Linked DNA regions of Oryzias latipes. The protein of the gene in region 2 purifies or fractionates together with the protein of the main gene of each other region. This does not show direct contact. Links are inferred from orthologs where the notes say so. Each region holds a gene or a part of one and is shown on either strand. Other genes may lie near its edges.

Evidence for each region.
Region 1: the proteins of smarcd3 (region 2) and bcl7a purify together in Homo sapiens (affinity purification with mass spectrometry; 4 studies listed by BioGRID and IntAct, counting the BioPlex papers as one, with this or other methods). This does not show direct contact. The link is inferred for Oryzias latipes from reciprocal best matches to the Homo sapiens genes SMARCD3 and BCL7A.

Annotation. Positions count from the first base shown.
Region 1 is NC_019870.2:1,211,479-1,216,522, forward strand, and holds the start of bcl7a (B-cell CLL/lymphoma 7 protein family member A), read right to left. Parts: upstream 3,310-5,044; 5' UTR 3,203-3,309; coding exon 3,111-3,202; intron 1,563-3,110; coding exon 1,312-1,562; intron 1,215-1,311; coding exon 1,065-1,214; intron 546-1,064; coding exon 442-545; intron 29-441; coding exon 1-28.
Region 2 is NC_019878.2:21,171,276-21,175,725, reverse strand, and holds part of smarcd3 (SWI/SNF-related matrix-associated actin-dependent regulator of chromatin subfamily D member 3), read right to left. Parts: intron 2,395-4,450; coding exon 2,272-2,394; intron 2,185-2,271; coding exon 2,059-2,184; intron 1,680-2,058; coding exon 1,584-1,679; intron 1-1,583. UniProt on the Homo sapiens protein: Involved in transcriptional activation and repression of select genes by chromatin remodeling (alteration of DNA-nucleosome topology).

The sequences.
Region 1 (5,044 bases), on a different chromosome or scaffold from region 2:
TTGTGGGCGGGGCCTCGTCCTGCAGGTCCTGAGGGAACAACAGGTTGACAAACGTTTAGGGAAACCACGTTTGAAGAATGATGTCAGATCACGTCTACGGCTCCACGCCGTTCCTTTGATCTGAAGGAGACGCACAACCTTTAAAGACGACTCTCTCATCCCATCGCCTCAAAGCGTCTTTCAACCCTTACGTAACCTGTCCTTTTCACAGACATAGTTTCTGCAGAGCAGCAGACGTTCAAAAAATGAGGAACAGTTTTAAATCAATCCGCTGCATAAACGCCAACATTGAGGACTTTCAGTCGTCTGCTTTGCTGATGTTCAGCACAAATATTAAACATGTTTCTGAAAATCACAGCAGGAGACCTCAAGACGGATGATCTGCACGCATTTCAAAACACCTGCGGAGGCGGAGCTTGACCCACGCAGGTGTGTTTGTACCTGAGTAGCTTTGCTGTCTGGTGACTCCTTCTCCCCCGACGACTGGCCGTCTCTCTTGGCGCCGTGCGCTCTCTCTGAGGTCTCTGACGAGGGCGTGGTCTTACCTGTGGGTCAGAGGTCACAGCTTGGATCAAACTGCAGTCCCTTTTGTGGTGCTTTACTGACACCCTGTGGTGAAATGAAGGAACTGCAACTTGTAACGAGATGTAAAGGTTCTCCGTCACATTGAAGCCCATCAGGACAACTATTGTTGTAATTTTAGGGTTTATAAATTGAATTGGTCGTATTTAAGGAATTCTGTGACAAATTGGGATAAAGGTTTGTCTTTTATTCCGTCAAAGTATTGGATTCGTTCAGTTTTGCTTCAATTAAATCTTAATTGGTCTTTCTGAAGATCGGCCATGATGAGGGCGCCGTTTTCACAACGCATCAGGGCGGGGCTTCACACAGAGCCTTTCTGATTGGCTCAGACTGTCTGACTTCATTTCCTCTCTGTGCTCTCAATCAGAGCCCGTCTGGAAAACACGGTTGACGGTTGAATTCCCTGAGGGCGGCGCTGAGGCTACAGCTGCGCCGAGGGGTCGCTGGCTCCAACCAGCTGCTGTTTGCATTTGACCTCTGACCTCTCTTGCTGTCCGGGCTCTGCTCGCTCTTGGTCTCGCTGTTCTCACGGAGCGTGGCGGCGTTGTTCTCGGGGGCGGGGCTTGTGCTACAGCTGTTTTCCTGCTTCACTGGGGACGAGTCTGCGATGGAGCTCTGGTTGCTGTTGTCGTCTGAAGGAGAAGCACGCTCAGCCTTTATTTACATTCATCAGAGAACGACCTGTTGTCATGTCCAGCTGTGACCTCAGGTGGGGGGGTGGGGCCTCACCGTGCATGTCCATCATCCCCGGAGACGAGCTGTTCTCCGGGGTCGTCACCTCTGAGCCGTACTTCTCATCTTTGCCCTTTTTCTTGTTTTTGTTTTTCTGAAAACGGAAAATAAGAATCATCCATTTTGAAGAGAAACCCCGGCTGACAGGTGTCAGAGGCGGACTCACGTCCTCAGATTTGGGCTCCGTCACCGGGACCCACTTGTAGATGCGGAGGGACGTGTCTCCCACCGTCACCCACTTCTTCTCCCTGAAGAGAGGAAACCATCAGGACAGGAAGCATCTCTGACTTTAAGGGGAAAACCTCATCATCCTGACAGAAGCGCCTTTCATTAAAAAACCAAAAATCACATCAAAAGAAGATTTTTTCCCCTTAATTATATCAATAATAAATCCTTTAAATATATATGTTAAAAGGGATTTATGTGAAAAATGCTATTTTCTCCTCTTTAAAAATCTTATTTTAAGATTTCAAACTGATTTTATTACTTTTATATTTTACAAAATACATTAATTATATTATTGATTAGTTACCGATCAGATGTATATATACAAAAATCTTAAACAGCTTTATTATTCATAAATGAATATGAAGTGTGTGTTGGAAAAAAATATTTTTCTATAATTTATAAAAACCAACAAAAAAGTTATAAAAATAATGTCACTAAATGATCAATATATTGATTATTGATCAGTATGATTCGATTATTTCCCTTGTTTTTCTAAATCACTACTTAAACCTTTAAAAAAGCTACATTTAGGTGTTAAGGTAAAATCCCTCTATCTAAATAAACAATTTTGGTATTAAAATTTCTCATATATAAGAAAAAAATGTAAACTGAAACAAATGTTTAATCCTTAAACTGATGTTAATAAAACTAAACAGAAGTTAAAATGTGTTTTAAAAATATTTTTTATTAGGAATGAATTGTTGCAATTTACAAACAAAATGTTTAACTTTTTTTAAATTTGGGGGAATAACTGACTGAAACTGTTTTGTTTACCCGCCTAAAGTTTCTGGTTCCGGTTTGTTTATTCCGTTTTATTTTCTTAACTTTAATCGAAAAAAATAAACTTCTGACTTTGACCTGGAGACGTTTGATTAATCCACCCAGACAGGCAGAAATTGAAAAAAATACCGCCCCCCGGCGGGGTCACGCGGCTGGATCCACGCTCCTCGTGTCCGGGTGATAACCGTATATGTGCGGCGGAGAAGCTGAAGGCGGTTAAAGGGTGATTTTCCGCGGCGAACCGGTCGCTCGGCGCCGCTGGCTGCGCGTTCAGCCATGCATCTCGGCGGACTTCCCTCTCCCAACCCCCACCGACCGAGCGCTGCTCCGTCGGACCCGAAGGGCGACTCCGAGCGCTGCCTTAAAACTCCTCGCGGGCCGAAGAGCCCGGACTCCGGAGCGTCATCGAACGGTCCCTCCGTCCGCGCCGGGTGTTCGTTTGGCCGGCGCCGCTCCGCTCGCGCTCCCGGCTCCGCAGCGAGCAGCAATGGCTTCATGTGACTGCATCGAAATGGCTTCTTCTGGGTTCAGCCCTAGCCGTTAAAAATCGGCGGAAAAACAGCGGCTATGCGACGAACCGGTTCCCGCCGAAGCCCGCCTCCGACCGGCGAAGACCGGTACGCCGGTGCGGACCGCTGCACCTGAGCCGCGGCGGGATCTGCCGTCCAGAAAACGTCGTTTTCTTTCAATTTCATCCGTCTCCGTCTCGCTTCTTCCCTCTCCTCCCCCAACAAGAGAGCCTTTCTGCTCCCGGGTAACGAAGCGCTCCTTTCCCGGCGTTTACTCACCATTTTCGTACTTTCTCGATGGCGGCCATGACCCTCTTGATGTCATCTTTGGCCCTGCTCCGGGTCTCCGCTCGGACCGACCTGCCCGACATTTCCGCGCTGCTAAAATATTTTTAAAGCTCGCCGGCAGTTCAGACACAATGCAAACAGTAGAGCGCACAGAGAGGCCAGTGCGCCTGCGCGGCTCCGGGGGAAGAGGGGGGGGGCGGCTGCGGCTGCGCGCTGAGCTCAGATCAGATCCTGCTGAGCGGCGGAACAAAGAAGCCGCAGCCGCCTCCGCTCTGCCCCCCAGGTCTGCCCCCAGAGCCGGTACAGGGTGTCCGCCGCGGCAGGAACACAGCTGTTCTGTTTTTACCCACTCACTTGTAAAAAAAATCGCCATAAAAAGAGAAAAAGTTTGACTCTTTGTCATTTTTGTTGGTATTTTACACAAAAAGAACAAAGCAGCTTTACCGCAGAGACATCAAAGGGCCGGAAACACCAACATGGAATTAGAGGGAGGCTTTCTGATTCAAACTAATGGAAGTTCAGAATCAGAAAGCCTTTATTATCATTGTTACACAAGAAACTTGTGACAACGAAATTCTGTTGCTCTTAGATATATGATCCATAAACATCTGAGCTCTTCATGCAGCCACACGGTGTCGTCTGGTCTGTTTACACACTTTCAAATCCAAACCGGTCTCCAGCGAGAGAGAGAAGATACTGCCTAACAGGTATCTACCAAATGTTCGGCTTAGCCGCTCAAATGAATCCAGGGTGTTGTCCACAAACAGATCTTTAAATCTTGTGTTGCCCTTCTTGTGCCACTCCTGAAAACCCCTGTCGTGAAGGGAGGGTATGAAAACACTTTGAGGCCATCACCACCAAAACACCATTTCTGCTAAATGTTTATTATTTTCAATGATTTTTTTTTTGGTAGACTTTTTTTCATTTAACATAATTTAAAATGTGCGGTTGCTATCCACGTTTAGCTTAGCCATGTTGGGTTCTGGTTGAAACTATCATGACTGTCACACTGTGACATATAGTGAAGTTACGCTTGTGACCCGAGGCTGTCAGTACTGACAAAACATGTCCATCATATTTGGACCAACCAGAGTTGCCTCGTTTATCACTGAGGATGCGTTTCATAATTGACCCATGAAAGGGTAAAATACTAAGTTCACACTGGGCAAGCAGGGAGGGGCTTCTTCTTCTTCTTTCCCCACTGTTTACTATATCTGCCACAGTTGGAAGAGGCTGGGTGTGAAATGTCAGTGGTGCAAATCTTGCCCAAGACTTTTTCTTTCACAGCTCCATTCTGATAAATCACAGAATTCCTGCTGGACGTAAACCACAATTATACATTTCTGCAGCTCCATGAGCTTTTTTTCAATGGTTGGCACTTCTGTGAATTCGAGAGGACACCATCCATTCGTCACTACCAAGTCCCTGCTTGGTCAAACTTTGACCTGGTTTACCTTGCAACGTGCGTTCAGTGCCCATGCGTTCTGTACGTAGAACCCAAAACGGTAGAACCTTCCATAGATGCGAGTTCTAAATGAAGCCCCAAACTTTGCATAAACTTTTCAGTGGAAGTGGCTGCAGGTCTGGAGGCAGAAGACCATGAGGAAAAAATAAGGCACATAAAAGGATTCCGGGGGTAAATGGCGTACACTTGTGTAGCGCTTTTCTACCTTCCTCGAAGGCGCAAGGCGATTTACAGTCACACACACAGTCACACACTGGTGGCAACTCCGCTGCCGAACTCTGGCGCCAACCTCCCACCAGAGGCAAGGTGGGGTTCAGTGCCTTGCCCAAGGACACTTTGACACATGAGTGGGCAAGGCGAGAATTGAGCCCGTAATGCTATGTATGGAGGGTGACCGCCCTACCGCTGCACCACGGCCGCCCTTCAATTTAGCTTTAAACCTTTATGAATTTTTAAATAG
Region 2 (4,450 bases):
TATTTATTTTAATCCACTGTGATTGATAATAAAAATGTTTTTTCCCCCCCTGGAGAACCAAAGAACAATGTTCGTATGACTCTTTAGAGCTTTATTTTTTGGTTCGCTCATTTTGAGTAGCAGCAATTAAAAGCGGCCAATAAATAAAAGAATAAAATCAAAACATGTAAAAATGTAAAAGTTTAAAATGTCTTTAAATAAGACAAAAGCTGAAAGCTTAGAAAGGGTGCATCACCACTGTTTGATGTCTTTCAGGCAGGAAGACCAAATCCGTTCAAATTTTCAAAATAAAAGACTGTCGACCTGTTCAGGGCGTACCCCGCCTCTGTCCAACTGTAGCAAGGACAGGCTCCAGCAACCCTGTGACCTTAAATGGGGAACATGCAGCAAAAAAATTAAAATATTACCGTAGATTACAAATAGGTTTGCAAAAAGACGATGTAAGTTTACGTTTCCTGGTAAATTTTATTGCCCTGAAAGCAAAACAAAGAAAAGCACATTGAGTTTTAATGCTTAGAGGCAAGAGGATTAAGCAACGCCTGACTAAATCTGAATAAACCCGCTTATGGGATTGAAATAAAATAAAAAAACGTATTCTAGGTGAGACGTCCTGTTTGCTGTTGAAACCACAGACCAGTCAGTTCACCAAGTCACCACTAGGTGGCTTGTTACACAAGCCAGTTCAATTCTTTTTAATGTCTGGATACCTTTCATTTACATTTACAAGGAGATTTTCCTTCTTCATTTGGGGAGATTGCTTTGTTGATTTTGCCTGGTTTTAAAAAAAGAAAAGATAATGAATTGATTTTTTATTGAAGAATAAACAACTATTCATCAAACCCTTTAAGAAGCTCGGATTTTATGTAAAAAATATCACAATTTAATTGACAAAAGTTCTGCTTTTATTCAGTTTGTATCACTAGTTCTGTAAAAGGGATTTTTTTTTTTCTGAAACAAAACAGGATCTGATAAATCCACCAAAAATGTGTTTTAGACGCAAATATTCTCACACGCTCTGATCATTTCATTTGTATTTGACGAAAGAAAAAAGGTTATTTACTGAGTTTAACTGGAATTTAAAAATGCAGACTCTGAGAACAGAGAGGAATCACAAAAAGACAATGATAACAAATATGTTAGTTACTCGTTGATTTAGAGAAACTTTAAGTTTTAAGGCCAAATTGTTCCTCATCAGGTCATCTGCATCTGTGTTTCCTCTTTTACATTATTCCTTCCAATCCAGTTTTTCTGGTTTCTCTAGAAACATCAGAGCATCATCTTCACTCCAAAAGTGGACCTCCTCCTCCTCCTCCTCCTCCTCCTCCTCCTCCTCCTCCTCCTCTTTGCTTTTCTGTCCTTTGGCCTTCCTTTGTCTGTTTTCTCTTCAGGTGTTTGGCCTCCGTGTGACTGAATTTGAGAGCTTCTCTGTTTTTATCGTTTTATTTACAGACGCGCTAAAACTGTAGATGCCGCGTCATCTCAGGAACCCCGCGAGCGCATTTTCAGATCAGATAAAAGTGAAGCTCTTCCTCTGTGTTCAGGGTGGAGCGTGCACGTGTGTGTGCATGTGTGTGTGTGCTGACCTCCACCAGGTGGTTGTCAGGACCGTACAGGTCTTTGTCCAGCTCAATCACCAGGCTCTTGAAGAAGGAGGAGAACTTCTTCTTCTGTTTCCCCGGCTGCACAAACAAAGCAATAGTTAATTTTCACCTCATGACCTTCCTCCACGTCTAATGACTCATAGGAAGCTGAAACACAAAGAAGAAACTGGATTTCCTGCGAACCTAACCAGAAATATTTGTGGCTTCTGACACCTGAAAGGCTCCGCCGGCTGTCAAACATCAGACGGCTCCTTCTGCCCTTCATCTGTTTTCTCAGCGTCAATCATTGATATTTTGAGCCAGAAGACATTTTTTCAGTCCAAACTGTGGACCCAGACGCCTCAGAACTCTCAGATCAAAGAGCGACACACTTTCACGGCGATCAGTGAGATTGCAATCGGTTATTTTCAGACGTTTAGTCCGACATTTAACGCCTGAATTAGAAAAAGAAGCTCACATCATCCAGCAGCTTCCCTTCAACCCGCAGCTCCCACGATGCAATGCTGCCGTCCGAGTCGTCGGCGTCCGGCCGGGCCGGGTTGAAGGTGTTGGAGATGTAAAGTCTCAGTTTTCGTTTTTGCTGCTGACACGAAAACATGACAAAGCGCACGGATCAGGGCGGACCGGACCGGACGGACCTGCCGGCGCCGGCCGGGGCCGCTTCCACTACCTTCATGGGTCTCTTCAGGGCCTCCTGGATGTCCACGCGCTTGCGCATGATGGTCTGATCCAGTTTGCGCTCGAAAGCCAGCAGATCCATGTAGGCCTGGGACTCCGGGACCAGCTCACGGATCTGCTCGGAAAGAAGCCCGCCGTTTGGGATTAGACAGCGTGAATGAAGCAGCGTGATCTTCTCAGCAGATCCAATCAGCTTCAAAAGATGAGCGGTCTGTTCTGAGGCGTCTATAAAACACCAAAGCCTGTCCAGAGAAAGTTTGGAGGCTGTTATGAAGCCAAACCCTCAGCACTTCTAGGAAATTTTTAATATTTTACGCTTCCTTTGTGCACGACAAAGACCAGCAACAAGCAAAGCTGGTCCTCCCCTGAGCAAATAGTACAACACTCGACGTTACGTACGTACCAGTATAATTATATACTGTGGAGTGTGCATGTGTAGTGTAGAAGGTATACTAACTGAATACTTCTTTAGACTAAATTTCCATCATTAAAAACTGCTTTTATCAGTGTTTACTCAACCGACATCTTTCCAACGAAGTTAAATACTAAACTTTATGGCAGAAAAGTAATTCAAAATGCAATATTTATCTAAAATAGTAACAGAAATGAAAGACCCACTCTGATGAAAATGTGTTTTTAACATTTTTTTGTGGCCTTTTTCTCCTGGTGGAGGACATAGTTGATCATGGCGGCGGCGCGTGCACTCGCCATCTTTCCGTGGATTTTTGATCGCGTTTGTCCGTTTGTTTGTCTTTTTCTTACGGACTTTTATATTCTTATATTTTTTTATTTATTCTTGATGTTTACTTCTTTTTGACTGAATTTTGGGAATTTCGCTGTAGAAATACACTGACAATAAAAATCTTTGAATATTTAGAAATAAAATGAATATTTCTTTAGTCGAACCGTTGTGAACTAGGAGCCGAGGATAAAAACTGTTTAAAAGTTTAAGAAAACATGTCTTGTCACTAGAATATTTTGCTTGCAATAGGAATTCTTGTCAGGACAGTTTTTCTTACCCCACTGGCACAAAAAAAGCTTATTTAAATGGTTTTTATAAAGAATTTTTGATATATCTTTAAGGATTTTCGCACCAACAAATTTTAGGGATCTTTCATATTTAAAACTTTAAAGATAATCTATTAATCTCATTTTAATAACTCCTTATTATATTTTGTTACTTAAATGATTGTTCATATGACGATTTTGAATTTTATTTTCAAAAAGGGGGCTAAACCAAACATTTTTGCCCCATTTCCCTTCAGGATTTTCCTTTTTTCTATTTGAAATATTTAAATTTTTTGACCAGATTTACATTTTTTGGTTTGTGGGCCCCCCGGCGCCGCTTTCTTTGATCCTGCCAACACATTTTAGGGATTTTAACGTGTAAAACTTTACAGATAACCTTTTGGTCTCACTTTAATTCATCCTTTTAATATATATATATATATATTTTTTTTACTTAAGTGGGTCAGTTTTATATGACAGTTTTAATTTAAAAAGGGTGGAAAAAAAGTAATTTATGTTGCTTCCATAAAATATAAGTGGACAATAACTGCTGGTCTGTGTCATTTTATTAAAAAACTGTTACTGAATCAAAGCATATTAAAAAAAACACCCTAATTATTTTTTAATAAACTTCTATAAACTTCCTCATACAGAAACAACCCTGTGAAGTCTTTTTATGCAATTAAAAAGAACAAACTGTTTGACCTTTACTTCCTGAAACTCTTGATTTTACTCTTAATGCATCTTCTTCTATGAAAAGGAACAGAAAAAAAATGGGGATTTTTTCAACAAAACAGTTACAAATATATTTGTAACCAATCAAATAAAATAAAAATAAAAGTAAAAATTTGAAATCTCAGATTTTTCTTGAAATTCAGGGATGCTGCTCTGACCGACACAGATCTGCGTCCTCGGAGCATCTCTGCTCTCCAAGCGGAGCCCCCCTCCTCCAGTCCCCCCCCCCCGTCCTCTCCTTCATCGGGCTGATGATGAAGGACTGTTGCAGACATTCCTAGCGTCTGACTCACTGCTGTGGAGCGGCGCCCCCCTCCTGATTATCCGCCGTCTGGGTGGGGTCAGAGGACAAGAGCGGGTCTGGACGCTCAGGAGGAGCGGAAGCCCGACTCACCTGCCGCCTCTTTTAACGGCGCCTTCGTTTCAGT